4 linked regions of the Saccharomyces cerevisiae S288C genome follow. The protein of the gene in region 1 interacts with the protein of each later gene in a biochemical or structural test. Each region holds a gene or a part of one and is shown in the gene's direction. Other genes may lie near its edges.

Evidence for each region.
Region 2: the proteins of SYF2 (region 1) and CEF1 form a complex in vitro, tested with the Saccharomyces cerevisiae proteins (one study listed by BioGRID).
Region 3: the proteins of SYF2 (region 1) and YJU2 form a complex in vitro, tested with the Saccharomyces cerevisiae proteins (one study listed by BioGRID).
Region 4: the proteins of SYF2 (region 1) and PRP22 form a complex in vitro, tested with the Saccharomyces cerevisiae proteins (one study listed by BioGRID).

The regions. Positions count from the first base shown.
Region 1 is NC_001139.9:748,440-752,206, forward strand, and holds SYF2 (Syf2p), read left to right. Parts: upstream 1-1,960; coding exon 1,961-2,608; downstream 2,609-3,767. Other genes in the region: UTP8 (Utp8p), read right to left, coding at 1-1,652; YGR130C (uncharacterized protein), read right to left, coding at 2,955-3,767.
Region 2 is NC_001145.3:690,720-695,653, forward strand, and holds CEF1 (Cef1p), read left to right. Parts: upstream 1-2,661; coding exon 2,662-4,434; downstream 4,435-4,934. Other genes in the region: EFR3 (Efr3p), read right to left, coding at 1-2,324; SCJ1 (Scj1p), read left to right, coding at 4,631-4,934. UniProt on the Saccharomyces cerevisiae protein: Involved in pre-mRNA splicing and cell cycle control.
Region 3 is NC_001143.9:259,469-263,613, forward strand, and holds YJU2 (mRNA splicing protein YJU2), read left to right. Parts: upstream 1-2,808; coding exon 2,809-3,645; downstream 3,646-4,145. Other genes in the region: CWP2 (Cwp2p), read left to right, coding at 1-63; CWP1 (Cwp1p), read left to right, coding at 1,664-2,383; YJU3 (acylglycerol lipase), read left to right, coding at 3,881-4,145. UniProt on the Saccharomyces cerevisiae protein: Part of the spliceosome which catalyzes two sequential transesterification reactions, first the excision of the non-coding intron from pre-mRNA and then the ligation of the coding exons to form the mature mRNA.
Region 4 is NC_001137.3:177,268-182,778, forward strand, and holds PRP22 (DEAH-box ATP-dependent RNA helicase PRP22), read left to right. Parts: upstream 1-1,573; coding exon 1,574-5,011; downstream 5,012-5,511. Other genes in the region: PRE1 (proteasome core particle subunit beta 4), read left to right, coding at 568-1,164; HEM14 (oxygen-dependent protoporphyrinogen oxidase), read left to right, coding at 5,333-5,511.

The DNA.
Region 1 (3,767 bases):
AATAATCTAGGTTGGTCTCTTAGTAAGGATAGCAAGTTGCGTGTACGACTCAATGGAAACAATGGGTGTGTCAATAAAAACGTTAAAGTTTTTGGATAATCATTTCCGCTAAACTTTCCGAAAATTAGATCTAAAACTTTATTCAAAAAGCCAGGATCAGAAATATATCTATCTTTTTCAGTATAATGTTCTTCTTTGATTTTTAGTTCTTTGAAAAATATGTCATCAAATGATGTAATGTCATTATCTTGAAGGGCTGAAAGCTTTTCAATAACTTCATTACAGTGGAGGACTGGAACGCTTGAATCCCCGCTGACGTCGTTACATTTCACTCTCTTGTCATTTATGTCTTTATCATCAAATAGCGGCTTTAAAATAACTGAGCTATCATTATTTCCAACTTGAAAACTCTTGCCTAATGAGTCCTTCAACGTATTAGTTCCAACATCAATATTAATTATTTCTAAGGAAGACGTTGGGTTTGGTCCATTTTTCGTTGAAATACCAATTGCTATTGTTTTTGAATTATGCGACTTTTCTGAATTGATCACTGCAGATTTTAATAGTTGGAATGTTTTCACGTGAGTTAATTCTCTTTGGCTTAAAGTAGAACAATGCAGTAAGTCTAGTAGATAAATGACGTTGTTTACGGTCAGTAGAACTCTGTTTACTGAAACAGGTTGGAAAGAGATTAAGTCATCTCCAGGACTGAGTTTATCCACCATCGGAAATTCAATAACTTGTTGCAATTGGCAATGTGGTAAAGAGTAAATGTATATTTTCCCCTGGTTCAATTTGTAAAGTTTTCCAAATTGATAACAAAGCTTTGAATTTTCAAAAGAAAATCCTTCGATGATAGTAGATGATAATTCTTTTATGGGCGAACTTTCTCCACTGCCACAATCTGTTAGCTCGAGCAATTTATAGCAGACTTTATCATCCTGTAATGGACAGAGAACAAAAACATATTCAGTTCCATTTTCAGTGAACCATTTAGCATATTTTAAGTTATCATAAGATATATCAAATGAATGCAAAAGTGTTAACTTAAAATCAAAAATTTCAATCAACCCGTTCTGTAAAATTGCAATTACTAAGCTGTTCTTGGTGTCAATTTTAATACTCATGACTTTGGCTTTCGCCTTGATCTTATACTGAGATAAAAATTCGTCTGAACCCGTGTATGCTTTATTGTCAATATCACTCTCACTCAGATGGTCATTTGAGGTATCAGTGGTATCTTCCAGTGCCTTAGTGATAACATTTAGCGTATAATTACCCTTATTTACCATTAAACCAAAGGCCCAAATTTCAACATTTCTTTTTTTTTGGGTGTTGATAGTCTTCTCGTTGTTGGCTTCATCATCGGTACTGGCTTCTATATTTCCGTCAATGTTCGCTTGACCTTTCTCAGCATTGCATGCCGTGATAATATTTGTAGAGGGTATTGGGTAATCGAATGTTAACTTTGGTGTAGGATTAATAATATATTGAGATATAGATGACCCGGAAATACCTAACGTTATGTTATTTGTAGATTCATTAAAGGTGCCATCTGCGACTTGAACGTAATCTGCTTGTAAAGAAAAATTGCTCAATGAAGCAATTTTTGGGAGAGTTGCTAGTCTAAATGGTTGAGACAGGGATGGCATTTTGAATCTTTACTATCCTCCGGAATGATTTGCTGTTCAAGGAGCGCTAGGTGTGACATATAATATTACAAATTTAACAGTGACCTCATCTCATCAAAGTTTTCAAATTTTTCAGGCATCTGCTACAGCATAATGAAAAAATTTGAAAAATACAGACATTTCCGTGTAGAATGACAAAAAAGCTAGAATATTACTATATTTTCCTTAAAAGAGCAATATTTGCGATGAGGGGCTCTCAATGACAATGTTTGACTTCTCTATTGAACTGTAAGCGAAGCAAAACCATATCTTGTCAAAGTATTCGAAGAATGGATTTTTACAAATTAGACGAGAAGCTGAAGGAGTTGAAAAGGAAAAGAGTAGATGTATCTATAAAGAGTAGGAAGTTGGCTGACAGAGAGATTCAGGAAGTAAGCGCAAATCGAAAACCAAGAGTATACAGTATGGAAGACGTAAATGATGCAGATGAATCAGTAGGAGATACAGAAAGTCCTGAAAAAGAGAAAGCATTTCATTACACTGTCCAAGAATATGATGCGTGGGAACGTAGGCATCCTCAAGGGAAGACTGGGCAAAGCCAAAGAGGTGGAATTTCCTATGATCAACTTGCAAAATTGAGTTATGAGAAGACCTTGCGGAATCTCGCTACGCAAACACAGAATTCGAGCAAACAGGATAGTTCCGCCGATGAAGAAGACAATAAAAACGTACCCAAGAAGGGTAGAATCGGCAAGGTACAGAAGGACACTAAGACGGGTAAGATAACAATTGCAGATGACGACAAGCTAGTTAATAAGTTGGCCGTTTCTTTGCAATCTGAGTCGAAAAAAAGATACGAAGCAAGAAAAAGACAAATGCAAAATGCAAAAACACTGTATGGGGTTGAAAGCTTCATTAATGACAAAAATAAACAATTCAATGAAAAATTGAGCAGGGAATCAAAAGGATCAGAATAAGCTTCTCTTTTATTTAGAATATACCGATATAACCAAAGGAAAGTTTTAATACCCTGGATTTTTCATCGACCGTCACGTGACGAGCTGAGGTTAAATGCCCGCAAAAGTGCTTCAGAAGAGAGTCCATCTTACTCGGTTATTTGAGCACGAAACACTAGAGAATAACTAACTGGTTGATAAATTGTTGATTGAGTAAATATTGGTACATAAAACGGTTACAAAGAGAGGTAGATTAGGAAGGGTGAAAATAATCAAAGGATAACTTGATGATACTCGACAAAGAATAGAAGAGAAAAATAAAATAGAGGTGGGATATTCCTTGAACAAAAGTGGAATATTATTTTTTTTAGGCATACATGACGTCTTCCTCAGTATGATATTCATACAAGGAATCGTCCTTTGGAAGGACGCTCGTATTCTTTTGTGAACGGTCATTTGGTATTTTGTGGTTTTCAGCCGCGTGTATACCTTCAGCTTGTTTGTGCTGCCTACTCAATATTTCTTGCTTCAAGGCCTCATCAGCGTTTTTCTGGCGAGTTTGTTCCTCGATAGCCTTTTCAGCTTGTAATCGCGTTCTTTCCCTCTTGACTGCCTCCAGTTCTTTCTCTTCGGTTGCCAGCTTATCCTGTAGTTCAGTCAATTGGTCATTATAGGTTTGCTTGACTTGAGTAATTTGCTGCTCATGATCTAATTGAGCCTGATGCGCTTGTTCCTCCAGCTCTTGGCGCTGTTTTTCCAATAAGTTCTCTTCTTTGCGTTTTCTTTCTTCAGCTTCTAGCTTCAACTGTTCTTCATGAGCGCGGCGCTCATCTTCGAGTCTTTTGGTAATTGCCGATAGTTGAGTTTTTTCATTGGCGTTTTCCTGCTTGATTATGGTCACTTCGTTCAATAAGCTTGATATTTGATTATCAATATCATTAATTTGTGGAAGATATTCCTTGTTCTCTACACTTTCCAAAACTTGTACATTTTTTTCATGCAGCTTCTTATTTTCTTCAGTTTGGGTAACCAAATCCTCCTTTTTCTTTTCCAGATTATCGATTTCGTTTTGAACTTTGCCTTGTTTCAAATTAATCTGGTTAATCTTAAAGATCTGAGCATCCAACTGTTGAGATAAGTTACTTAAGTTCGTGGTCCAGTCATTGAACTCCTTTTGGAC
Region 2 (4,934 bases), on another chromosome or scaffold:
CTTGAACTTAAAGAATGTAAATCTTCATTTGCGTCTTTAAAGTCATCGTTTTGATTTTCACCAGTTGCTGTTTTTTGCAAAAAGGATTTTCTATTTCCAATGCTACTGCGATCAGAAAGACTAGATATTGGTGCAAGTCGCAGAGAATTTGATCTAGCAACGTCGATTTTATCCAAGCCAACAATATTCTCCTCATCAGGATCTTTGATTTTATTCGCGTCATCTGAAAAAGTTTTCAATTCATTTAATAAAAATGTGATATTAGTGACACGAGATTTCACTGATTGAGAACCCCGAAAAGAGCCATCTCTTTTCATATTATTTGGAATATTCTTTTCATTCATAGTTTTTTTCAAATCGCTAACTTTTGGTGCGGTGGCTCTCATTGTTTTCCATGATCTTGCGTCCTCAGCAACAAACCTATAGATACTACCTTTTGCATTAGCATCAGAAATTACAGTATCGTTAGCTTCTTCTATATTGTCATCTATGCTGTTGTCGAATTTATTTTGCTTGGCCGCAAAATCGTTGTTATCATACACTGCTTTCCCATTTGAAAAAATAGCATTAGGGACATTCTTGTACTCCAGAGGTGTAGTACGAACTTGAGAGTCCGACAGTAAATCAGAAGTAGAAATTTGATTATCACGAGACAATAAAATCTGCGCCCCCTTCTTGCTGTATTTATTTGATCCAGTATCAGAATAGTATGACAATAAATCTTCCTTGGTAAACAAAGTTCTAGTTTGCATTTTGTACTCAGTTTGTGACTTGTAGTCATTGAGTTTTAAAAAGTTAGCTGCTTGTAAATGGTACGAATAATAGGTATACTCAGGCTCAGAAACGTTCTCTAGAAAATAATTCAAACCGGATAATAGTGCCATTTTTCCATACTTGTCAAAGATCTCTTCCATCATTTCTTTTTGCACACCATGTGAATCCAGTTCACGTAATAATGAGTACAGTTTTGAAAAGAGAATGCTGCTTGGAACCTCAGTTTCAACAATGTTAAATAAACATATAATGTGGTTTTTCATGTAATGCGCCAAGTCGATGAATAATTCCAAACTGATACTTGGCTGCGTAATATGTTCAACGAGGAAATCAATATCTTCCACAACTGCATTCTTTTCAACATCCTTGACGGTGTCACTTTTCAATTTCAATAGTAGTTCATATAACATATCTGAGGTCTGTTCAGCGTAATAAGTTTTATGGTTAAGGTCTGTCATGGTGATACAAGACTGTGCCACAACTTCTTTATTAGTTGCATTTTTCAACTGGAAATTTAAAAGCTTTCTCATTATATCAAGAACACTCAACCCCACTATACTGACATCTGAAACAAGTAATGACGACATCAATTTCAAGGAAACAATTGGATTTACATTTTTATCCTTGTCGCTTAGTTGTCTGACCAAAAGAAGTATAACAATATATCGTAACTGAACAGGTATACCATTGCATACAAACTCTAGCAGTTCCTTATTAGGTGTACTTTGCAGACAGCGCAACAGAGTACGAATAGACAAATTCAATTTGTCTGTCTCAGTTGTGTTAAAATAGGATTGCAATGCTTTTACTGAAAGGTCATGATTATCTTCGGCGGCCTTATCTAACCCAATTGTACGAGTTTGTGTTCGACTTAGCCTTTTTCCTAAATTGCTCTCCAGAGCTGCTTCCAGCGACAAAGTTTTAAATTTCGGATTTCTCTCTTGGAACTTTGAAATAGTATAGGCAACAGACTTGGAAACAAAGTGGTTTAGTTGTGGGTTGCTTGAAACACTATTTGTGTTTGATATATCAATACAGCATTTCAGAAGCATGTCATCATTATGAATTCTTTCAGTAACTATTTTAAAAAAAAGATCAACAAAGTTCTGGTATAACTGGACGAATTCCATGTCACCGTTACACAAGACGTCGTCCAAGTTCTGGCATATACTACTAAATGCCAGTTCTATTAATTCAACAACAGATACATCATTGTTAAAATTGTTGTTGGAAAGAACTTTGTTCATAATGTACAAAAAATCTTTAACAAATACATTCAAATTCTCCTTACAATGCAACACAATTTTGTTCATTAAATCCAATGTAACGGCTATGTTCCCTATGCGCCGATGGTTCAAGTCGGAAGTGGAACGCTTAATCAGGTAAGTGCTAACTTTCTCCAATTTACTACGCCTCGAGTTAACGTAATATAGCAAATATGAAGTTTCCGAAGATTTAGGCTTCTTATCTGTGGTCCTTCCCGTAGGATAACATTGATTGACCAGTTTCTGATGTTTTGGTGTGAACATCATCCGCATAGACAACTGCATCGCAAACCACTTTCAGAACAATTGAAAATGAACGAAAGATGAATAATAGAGCGAATGATCTGGGTTCAATATACAGTCTGCCACTGAATTAATACTACTCCAATAGCGGGGTTGCTCACAATACTTTCAATTTATCCTGGCTGCCTGGCTTTTTCAACAAAACCATTACCTTCCTAGTAGTTCGAACAAAATTTTCTTCCTCTTCCTTTGGCCGGGGTTGAAGTTTAATGAAAAATTAATGCTATGAACTATTATGACAAAAAAGCATATGCGACTCAGGAAGATAGTAAAGAAAAAAAGCAAAACATTTCTAAGAGGACTATACTAGCATTTCAAGATGCCCCCCGTACCAATATACGTGAAAGGCGGTGTATGGACCAATGTGGAGGATCAGATTCTTAAAGCGGCTGTACAAAAATACGGAACTCATCAGTGGAGCAAAGTAGCATCCCTTTTGCAGAAAAAGACTGCCAGGCAGAGTGAATTAAGGTGGAATGAATATTTAAATCCAAAGTTGAATTTTACAGAGTTCTCGAAGGAGGAGGATGCCCAACTTCTAGATCTTGCAAGAGAGCTGCCTAATCAGTGGAGGACCATAGCTGATATGATGGCCAGGCCTGCACAGGTCTGCGTCGAAAGATATAATAGGCTATTAGAAAGTGAAGACAGTGGAGGGGCTGCGTTAAGTACAGGAGTTACTGACTTGAAAGCCGGGGATATTAATCCTAACGCTGAAACTCAAATGGCTAGACCAGATAATGGTGATTTGGAAGATGAGGAAAAGGAAATGCTTGCTGAAGCTAGGGCTCGTCTGTTAAATACCCAAGGTAAGAAGGCTACAAGAAAGATTAGAGAGCGGATGCTCGAAGAATCAAAACGCATTGCTGAACTACAAAAGAGGCGTGAGCTAAAGCAAGCAGGAATTAATGTTGCCATTAAGAAACCGAAAAAAAAATACGGCACCGACATTGATTACAATGAAGATATAGTATATGAACAAGCTCCCATGCCAGGTATATATGACACGTCCACTGAAGACCGCCAGATAAAAAAGAAGTTTGAGCAGTTTGAGAGAAAAGTCAACAGAAAAGGTTTGGATGGTAATAAGGATAAGCCAAGTAAAAAAAATAAGGACAAAAAAAGAAAACACGATGAGAACGAACACGTTGAGAAAGCAGCACTGGGTGAATCTACTACATTGACGGATGAGTATAAAAAACCAAAACTTATACTATCTGCACCAGGAACGAAACAGGGAAAAGTCACCTATAAAAAAAAGCTAGAAAGCAAAAGACAAAAACTAATCGAGGCACAAGCAACTGGCACTGTGTTGACACCAAAAGAACTACTACCCCACGACTCCGGCCAAGAAGATAATGAACGCAGTAATATAAAGAGTGGTAAACAGCTAAAATCACGCATACGAAAATTTTTAGTGCAAATGTTCGCATCTTTGCCTAGTCCCAAGAACGATTTCGAAATTGTATTAAGTGAAGACGAGAAAGAAGAAGATGCAGAGATAGCGGAATACGAGAAAGAATTTGAAAATGAAAGAGCGATGAATGAAGAGGACAACTTCATAGAACCACCATCTCAAAATGATGCGCCACGCGTCTCATTAGTAGCCGTTCCATTAGCTTACTCAACGCTACCCATACCAGAATTCAAAAACAATCCGCAGTCCGCGATTGACAATAAGTACAACTTGCTAGTCGCGAACGCCATAAACAAAGAACCTCACATGGTACCAGAAGATACGGTAGATTTTCTCAAAGAGGTGGAGTCGCGTATGCAGCATATAACCCAAGGGCGCACTTCCATGAAAATACAATTCAAAACAGCAATGCCCCCAACTGAGGTTCTTCTGGAATCGATCCAATCAAAAGTGGAGTCTATTGAACAGTTACAGCGTAAACTACAACATGTGCAACCACTGGAACAACAGAATAACGAGATGTGCAGTACCCTCTGCCATCACAGCCTGCCCGCTTTGATTGAAGGGCAACGCAAGTACTACGCTGATTACTACGCCTACCGACAAGAGATACGATCGCTTGAGGGTCGTAGAAAGCGTCTTCAAGCCATGCTAAATTCTTCTTCTTCCATATAGCATTAGTATAGCATTAATATAACTTTTATGAACTAGGACATAGAGGACTTGTGACAACGCATTACCCGGAGTTAGAACGTTTTCTTGCCAAGTTGGCCACATCGGCAAACCAGCGATGGTAATAAGATGTAGTACTGACAAAACATGGTGGATAGGCCAGAAGAGCGTGCATTGGCTGGCGAAAAGATCGAGGACAATGATTCCAAAATTATATATACATTTGATACTATCTTTATTGTTGTTGCCGCTAATTTTGGCGCAGGATTATTATGCAATACTAGAGATAGACAAAGATGCCACTGAGAAGGAAATCAAATCAGCGTACAGACAATTGTCTAAGAAGTACCATCCGGATAAAAATGCTGGGAGCGAAGAAGCCCATCAAAAATTCATTGAAGTCGGCGAGGCATACGATGTATTGAGCGATCCTGAAAAGAAAAAGATTTATGACCAGTTTGGTGCAGATGCTGTAAAGAATGGCGGTGGCGGTGGCGGTCCAG
Region 3 (4,145 bases), on another chromosome or scaffold:
GCTGCTAAGGCCGCTGTCGGTATGGGTGCCGGTGCTCTAGCTGCTGCTGCTATGTTGTTATAAGAAATCTCTGATTTTTTATAATATCTATATGGCTTTTTTCAAAATTTTCGGTTTTACTAGGTAAGTGTTTGATTCTTTTCTTTTCGTTAATATATTTTTACACATAATTTTAAATAATTTTTGTTATTTTGAATAGGTAGATACCATAAAAATAAAACACTTTTTACTTTAACGATGTTCCTGTGATTTCTCTTCGAATGAGTCAAAAATTTGAACTCGAAATGAATGTATTAGAGACTGGGTTTCTTCGAGTTTGCTGAGATCTTGGCTATGCACAATGTTTCCTGCGCCCCTAAGGTGAAAAAAACATGCATGCTTGTTTCAACAGACCAGTGTGCATAAAGAATTTCGCCCTTAGCTGCGATTAAAGAGTCAAGGCGTGAAAAACATAGGCGAAAGTGCTGACCGTTCTTCCCTTTATCTTTTTACCATCTTCGTTATCTGTTACCTGTTCAAAAGAAAGTGGGAAAGATATTGGTGTGCTACGGTGGGATCTTTTTTTTCTGCCATTTTCTATACTTTACTTCCACTTATAAAATATTTTACAAATTCAAGGGAGACGTGTGACAAAATAATAATCTAGAACTCAATGAACTTTTGTCCTCACTACAATTGCCCCTCGGATGGATTTGAACTTACAAGAAATATCACGTTGGCGCGCGCTAAAGTCGCTTGCCAATGCGCTATGAAATTTTCATGACCTGGCACATTTTAGCACAGTGCCATTAATCCCTTTATTATGGGCATTGATGCGACTTTAAAACTGTACCTTCCTTCGCACATGCTGAATTTTCTTAATGAGATTCATCTACGATGCTTTAGAGCTAGCCTTGTTTTCTTTTTTATGCTTCAAGAGTAAGTAGTGAAGAACCCCACTAGACAAATACTAAGGGATGCTGCAACCACGTCTTATACTTCACCCATACATAACATTGGAATCTCATTAATTTTTGCAAAGATATGGTGAACAAGTTTCAAAATAAGAATGTATGTGTACCGAATCGTAGCTCGAGGTAATAATGAAAAAAAAAATCGGACATCTGGAAAGTTACGAATATAGAAGCAGATACCCCTCTTGACGGCAAACATTGTGTGCTCGACCTTCTATCCCGTTAAAATATCATAATAAACAAACCCCTCCCGCGAAAACAAAAAAAGAGAGCTAAAAAAAGTACTTCTTCGCGTTATAGATGGTGCCGCACCGTACGTCATAACTAAAAATAGCGTTAGCCACAGCTCCCTGAACGAAAAGGGCCCTTCGGCCCGATTGGAATACGGGTCCGCTTACGTCTGTGCGTGCGGGTTGTCCCACAACGGTAACTTACTCCAGGAGAGCCATCTCGAAGGTGCCACAAAAGAAAACAAAAAAAACAACAAACAATAAGCTCTGTGGTTCACGTTCAATGTAGTGTTTTTTCACCTTTTAATTTTGATAATTTGTGGTGCAGAAAAAAAAAAAGCAAACAAACAAAATCTCAATTATTTAAAGGACGATCTTAACGTTTCTTTCTTTCGCTATCTTCCTTGAATTTTTTTTCTGTCTGAAGTAAAATATCCCGTAACAAACTAATAAATACTACGAAAGTCTCAAAAAACAATAATGAAATTCTCCACTGCTTTGTCTGTCGCTTTATTCGCCTTGGCTAAGATGGTCATTGCCGATTCCGAAGAATTCGGCCTGGTGAGTATCCGTTCCGGCTCGGATTTACAATACTTGAGTGTTTACAGTGATAACGGCACTTTGAAACTTGGCAGCGGTAGTGGCTCATTTGAGGCAACTATTACCGATGACGGTAAACTGAAATTTGACGACGATAAGTATGCTGTTGTCAATGAGGATGGCTCATTCAAAGAAGGTTCTGAGAGCGATGCTGCCACTGGTTTTTCTATTAAAGATGGCCATCTAAACTACAAGAGCTCTTCTGGTTTCTACGCTATCAAGGACGGGTCGTCTTACATTTTCTCTTCTAAGCAATCCGACGACGCTACCGGTGTTGCGATTAGACCAACTAGTAAGAGCGGATCTGTTGCAGCAGATTTTTCTCCAAGCGACTCTAGTTCCTCTTCATCTGCTTCTGCTTCGTCTGCTTCCGCATCATCTTCTACAAAGCATAGTTCGAGTATAGAATCTGTCGAGACCTCTACTACTGTGGAAACTTCCTCTGCTAGCTCCCCAACTGCTTCAGTTATCTCTCAAATTACTGATGGACAAATCCAAGCTCCAAACACAGTTTACGAACAAACAGAAAATGCAGGTGCCAAGGCTGCCGTCGGCATGGGTGCTGGTGCTCTAGCGGTCGCAGCTGCTTACTTGTTGTAAGTACGAGAACAAAACCTGCATGTTTTATTTCCTTCAATATAGCTTTCTACATAATGATCACTTACATATAGCGTAATGTAATATGAAATGGCCCATAATATTCTCTTACATTGTCCTCCTACCTACATTCCTTTTCTTGCATGCAGCTCTCACATTCCCCGATTCGCTTGAAAAATTTAAACTTGTAGAAAAGTAGGTGAATGTCCCGCCGGCGGTTTCTCTGCTGCATGTAGAAAGATGGATATACAGAAAAGGAGATAAGAGTAGCTATCTCAAGTTTGTTCCACTGACTGCTAATACGCATAGAGTTGTTATTTATTGTACATATTCGAAAAAAAGCAAGAAATCACTACGGTGACCTCAGTAGAACGAACTAATAAGTCAAACCAAATTAACCGTTTCCAGGCTGATAGGAGAATACAAGAATGTCTGAAAGAAAAGCTATTAACAAGTACTATCCACCGGATTACAACCCACTGGAAGCTGAAAAGCTATCCAGGAAAATGGCTAAAAAACTGAAAACCATGAATAAGAGCCACGCATCGATTAGATTAATGACCCCATTTAGTATGAGGTGTTTGGAATGTAACGAATATATTCCCAAAAGCAGAAAATTCAATGGTAAGAAAGAGCTACTGAAGGAGAAGTACCTGGACTCCATTAAGATATATAGACTAACCATTTCATGTCCACGTTGTGCCAATTCCATTGCATTTAGAACAGACCCCGGTAATTCAGATTATGTAATGGAAGTGGGGGGCGTAAGAAACTATGTCCCTCAGAAACCAAATGATGACCTGAACGCTAAAACAGCTGTCGAAAGCATAGACGAGACACTGCAACGCTTAGTGAGAGAGAAGGAAATGGAGCAGAACGAGAAGATGGGTATAAAGGAGCAAGCAGATGACAAAATGGATTTGCTGGAAAAAAGACTAGCCAAAATTCAACAAGAGCAAGAGGATGATGAGGAACTTGAAAATTTAAGGAAAAAAAACCTTGAAATGAGCCAGAGAGCTGAAATGATAAACCGCAGCAAACACGCACAACAAGAAAAAGCAGTAACGACTGATGATCTGGACAACCTCGTAGATCAGGTATTTGACAATCACAGGCAGCGTACCAATAAACCTGGCAATAACAACGATGAGAAGAGAACTCCGTTGTTTAATCCTACATCCACTAAGGGAAAAATACAGAAGAAAAGCTCTGTGCGTACGAATCCGTTAGGGATAGTTATAAAACGAGGAAAGTCTCTCAAATGACCTAGAAAAGTAAGGAACGTACGATTGGTATCATGATCTCTTGTGATGCTGTGCTACTGTGGTTGCTTCCACACTATAGCGTCCATCGCTACTTACGAGGGGCGACAGCCCCTTCGGACTTCGAAGTGTCTGGCCGTTTTTTCATTGAATTTTCTTATAAATGAATACATATCGGAAAAGCCATTGTTGACTAAAGCAAGCCAAAGCCACACAAACCGAGGACAAATAGAAAAGCATGGCTCCGTATCCATACAAAGTGCAGACGACAGTACCTGAACTTCAATACGAAAACTTTGATGGTGCTAAGTTCGGGTACATGTTCTGGCCTGTTCAAAATGGCACCAATGAGGTCAGAGGTAGAGTTTTACTGATTCATGGGTTTGGCGAGTACACAAAGATTCAATTCCGGCTTATGGACCACTTATCACTCAATGGTTACGAGTCATTTACGTTTGATCAAAGGGGTGCTGGTGTTACATCGCCGGGCAGATCGAAAGGTG
Region 4 (5,511 bases), on another chromosome or scaffold:
GTTCTGACTATCCGAGAAGCGCACAGCAACATAACACCACCTTCTTTTAGTCTTTTAGCGAAAAAGTAGGAAGGCTCTGCACTCCATCGTTTTTACCATTCCTACACGTTATAAGGACTCAGACAGGCGGCGTAGTTAAAATAAATTAACACCGAGTCTTGAACATGTAATTTCTTTAGGTTCATTGAAGAGATAATTATAACTTTCCTGCCCACAAGTCCTCTGATTTACATTCGAACGAGGCTCATTAACGTAGTGAAAACTGTTCATAACGCAATCTCTTATGAAAACCATGCGGTGAATTCCTTTTGACAGGTTCTCTATGATACTATCGACGCCTCTCAAATATCAATGCGTATTACTGCATCAGCAAAGCTCCGTCATCTACATCTAGGCCGGGGCATCTTTCGCAGCGAAATCTTTACGGTGGCAAAAAATAAAGAAAAGTGAATATTGAACACCAATTACAAGAAAAGGGAGCACCTGTCAATCGAATAAAAAAGAACAAACTTCGGGCACGTCTTTTAAATAGGTTCATATACAATACTAAGAAAGATATATTAAGAAATGGATATTATTCTGGGCATCCGTGTACAGGATTCTGTCATTCTAGCGTCTTCTAAGGCAGTCACAAGAGGTATTTCTGTTTTAAAAGATTCTGATGATAAAACGAGACAATTATCGCCACATACATTGATGAGTTTTGCCGGTGAAGCTGGTGACACCGTTCAATTCGCCGAGTACATTCAAGCCAATATCCAATTATACTCCATTAGAGAAGATTATGAGCTCTCTCCACAAGCAGTATCTAGTTTTGTTAGGCAAGAATTAGCCAAGTCAATTAGGTCGAGAAGACCATACCAAGTCAACGTATTGATTGGAGGCTATGACAAAAAGAAGAACAAACCGGAACTATATCAAATTGACTACTTGGGTACTAAAGTCGAATTACCCTATGGTGCTCATGGTTACTCGGGGTTTTACACATTCTCTTTACTAGATCATCATTATAGACCTGATATGACTACTGAGGAGGGTTTAGATTTATTAAAACTATGTGTACAAGAGCTTGAAAAAAGAATGCCAATGGACTTCAAGGGCGTCATTGTTAAAATCGTGGATAAAGATGGCATAAGACAAGTAGATGACTTCCAGGCACAGTGAAAGATATTCAGTGTAATCACACGGAAAAGGTGATTGCTAATGATATACTAAAGTAATTATCTTCCTCGTTCATAAAATTAAATAAAGTTATTATAGTTTTTTCATCCGTTATAATAGCAAATGTATCAGAAATAAGACAATTTCTCATTTTTTGTTGGCAGAGTGAGATATCATCTGATCTATTGCAAATGAATCCCAATCAATGCTGATACCGCTTCGTTATAACCAATTCGAAAAGTTGTAATTATGTTACCCGCATGAGAATATTTTGAAGAAGCAATGTAGGGCTACGATAGTACTTTTGAGATGGTTTATTACTTGTTCAAATGCTGTCATCTCATGTTGTTAATGCGCTATATTTCGCACTACGAAGCTAATTTTCAACATAGGTAACACAAAGATATTAGAGATGTCTGATATATCGAAACTCATAGGAGCTATTGTGGGATCTGATGACCCCGTTATCATTGAATTTGTGCTGAATATCATAAATAAATCCGGCAATTTACAAGAGTTTATACGAAATATTCAAAAATTGGATGCCGGTATATCCTACGAAGACAGTATTAAGATGTATAATGCATTTTTAGGAAAGCAGGAAGAAGAAAAGGTACGAAATAAAGTTAAAAGTTCACCGTTAAGTCAAAAAATTAATCAGGTACTGAAAGATGACGTTAATTTGGACGACCCTGTTGTGACTGAATTCGTCCTGAGCATTTTGAATAAATCTAAATCAATAACTGAGTTCCAGGAACAACTGAACTTGATGCAAAGCGGACTCGATAATGAAACAATTTTCAAGATATATCAAATTGCATCACCACCAGTAATGAAAGAAGAAGTCTCAGTTCTTCCAAGCACCAAGATACCAGCAAAGATAGAAGCAAAGATTGAAGAAGAGGTACAAAAAATAGAAAGTTTAGACCCCAGCCCTGTCCTTCACAAAGTTTATGAAGGTAAAGTGAGAAACATAACTACTTTTGGGTGTTTCGTCCAAATTTTTGGGACGCGAATGAAGAATTGTGATGGCTTAGTTCATATTTCAGAAATGTCAGACCAAAGAACATTAGATCCACATGATGTGGTGAGACAAGGCCAACATATCTTTGTCGAAGTGATAAAAATACAAAATAATGGAAAAATATCGCTCTCCATGAAAAATATTGATCAACATAGTGGAGAAATCCGGAAAAGAAATACTGAAAGTGTCGAAGATAGAGGTAGGTCCAACGATGCTCATACAAGCAGAAATATGAAAAACAAAATTAAAAGGCGTGCTTTGACTTCACCAGAAAGATGGGAAATTCGCCAACTAATTGCCAGCGGTGCTGCTTCCATCGATGACTATCCTGAATTGAAGGATGAAATACCCATAAATACTTCCTATTTGACCGCGAAAAGAGATGACGGCAGTATCGTTAACGGTAATACAGAGAAAGTGGACTCAAAATTGGAAGAACAACAACGAGACGAGACGGATGAAATTGATGTCGAGCTGAATACAGATGATGGGCCCAAATTTTTAAAGGATCAGCAAGTCAAGGGGGCCAAGAAATATGAAATGCCTAAAATTACAAAAGTCCCGAGAGGATTTATGAATCGTTCAGCAATCAACGGCTCTAATGCAATACGAGATCATAGAGAAGAAAAGTTAAGGAAAAAAAGAGAGATTGAACAACAGATTAGGAAACAACAGTCGTTTGATGATCCTACGAAAAACAAAAAAGATTCCAGGAACGAAATTCAAATGTTGAAAAACCAGCTGATTGTTACTGAATGGGAAAAAAATAGAATGAATGAATCTATCTCGTATGGCAAAAGAACTTCCTTACCAATCAGTGCACAGCGTCAAACTTTGCCTGTATACGCGATGAGGTCTGAATTGATACAGGCTGTGCGTGACAATCAATTTCTGGTCATTGTTGGTGAGACAGGTTCGGGTAAAACCACTCAAATTACTCAGTATTTAGATGAAGAAGGGTTTAGTAACTATGGGATGATCGGATGTACCCAACCTCGTAGGGTTGCCGCTGTATCCGTTGCTAAAAGAGTGGCTGAAGAAGTTGGCTGCAAAGTTGGCCATGACGTTGGCTATACCATTAGATTTGAAGATGTTACTGGCCCAGATACCAGAATAAAATATATGACTGATGGTATGTTACAGAGAGAGGCGTTGTTAGATCCCGAGATGTCAAAATATTCAGTTATCATGTTAGATGAAGCTCACGAAAGAACTGTGGCAACTGATGTTTTATTTGCGTTGTTAAAGAAAGCGGCTATTAAAAGGCCAGAATTAAAAGTAATAGTTACATCGGCTACTTTGAACTCTGCTAAATTTTCTGAGTACTTTTTAAATTGTCCGATTATCAATATACCTGGTAAAACTTTTCCCGTGGAAGTACTCTACTCACAGACGCCCCAAATGGATTACATAGAGGCAGCTTTGGATTGTGTAATAGACATCCATATTAATGAAGGCCCAGGCGATATTTTAGTCTTTTTGACTGGACAGGAAGAAATAGACTCATGCTGTGAAATTTTATATGATAGGGTGAAAACTTTAGGTGACAGCATCGGCGAATTACTGATTTTGCCCGTTTATTCTGCTTTGCCAAGTGAAATCCAATCGAAAATTTTTGAACCCACTCCAAAGGGCAGTCGAAAAGTCGTATTTGCCACAAATATTGCGGAAACTTCAATCACTATTGATGGAATTTATTATGTCGTGGACCCTGGATTTGCAAAAATCAACATTTATAATGCAAGAGCAGGTATCGAGCAGTTGATAGTGTCTCCAATCTCTCAGGCACAGGCAAATCAAAGAAAAGGTAGAGCTGGAAGAACAGGCCCTGGAAAATGCTATCGACTTTATACAGAATCCGCATTTTACAATGAAATGTTAGAAAACACGGTTCCAGAAATTCAAAGGCAGAATCTTTCTCATACTATTTTGATGCTAAAGGCCATGGGAATTAATGATTTATTGAAATTTGACTTCATGGATCCCCCTCCCAAAAATTTAATGCTTAACGCACTGACAGAATTATACCACCTGCAGTCACTAGATGACGAGGGAAAACTAACAAATTTAGGTAAAGAGATGTCCTTATTTCCAATGGATCCCACTCTATCACGCTCTTTATTGTCATCTGTTGATAATCAGTGCTCGGATGAAATTGTTACTATAATCTCAATGTTGTCAGTACAGAACGTTTTTTATCGTCCAAAAGATAGGCAATTGGAAGCAGATAGCAAGAAGGCAAAGTTTCATCATCCATACGGTGACCATTTAACATTATTGAACGTTTATACTAGATGGCAGCAGGCAAATTACTCGGAGCAGTATTGCAAAACAAACTTTCTGCATTTTAGACATTTGAAAAGAGCAAGAGATGTTAAAAGCCAAATTAGCATGATATTTAAAAAGATAGGCTTAAAGTTAATAAGCTGTCATAGTGATCCTGATTTAATTCGTAAAACTTTCGTGTCAGGGTTCTTCATGAACGCTGCTAAGCGAGACTCACAGGTAGGTTATAAAACCATCAATGGTGGTACAGAGGTTGGAATACATCCCTCGAGTTCATTGTACGGAAAAGAGTATGAATACGTAATGTATCATAGTATCGTATTAACTAGCCGGGAATACATGTCGCAGGTAACATCCATTGAGCCCCAATGGCTTCTCGAAGTAGCGCCTCATTTTTATAAAGCTGGAGATGCTGAAAGCCAGTCTAGGAAGAAAGCGAAAATCATTCCTTTGCATAACAAGTTTGCCAAGGATCAAAATTCATGGAGACTAAGCTCAATAAGGCAGTCAAGGGAAAGGGCATTAGGTATCAAGAGGTAACATTGTTAGCTTTTTATGCATTATAATTATCGAGTTTTATAGACCTATATTTAATTTTTTAACAACTTTATCTCTCTTGAGAATTTTTACATGAAAAAAATCACAGAGTAACGCTAACCTTTCTTTAATTGAAAGCTGCCATTGCTCGTTTAGTTACAAAACGCCTTTGAACTTGCCTTCGACACTTTGTTGCTTCGGAGTCGCGGAGTATTCAAAAAAAGAAATAGTATAATAGAGAGAACAATAGAGATATTCGCGAAGAACACCAATTCAAACATATCGAGTAAAGTGCAATTGAGAACGCCAAAAAGAGCTTGTATAATGTTATTACCATTAACAAAGCTAAAACCGAGAGCAAAAGTTGCTGTTGTAGGGGGTGGCGTTTCTGGACTATGTTTTACTTATTTTTTAAGCAAGTTGAGACCGGATGTTGAAATCACACTGTTCGAATCGCAGAACAGAACTGGGGGTTGGATATATTCTTGTAACACAAGAGATAT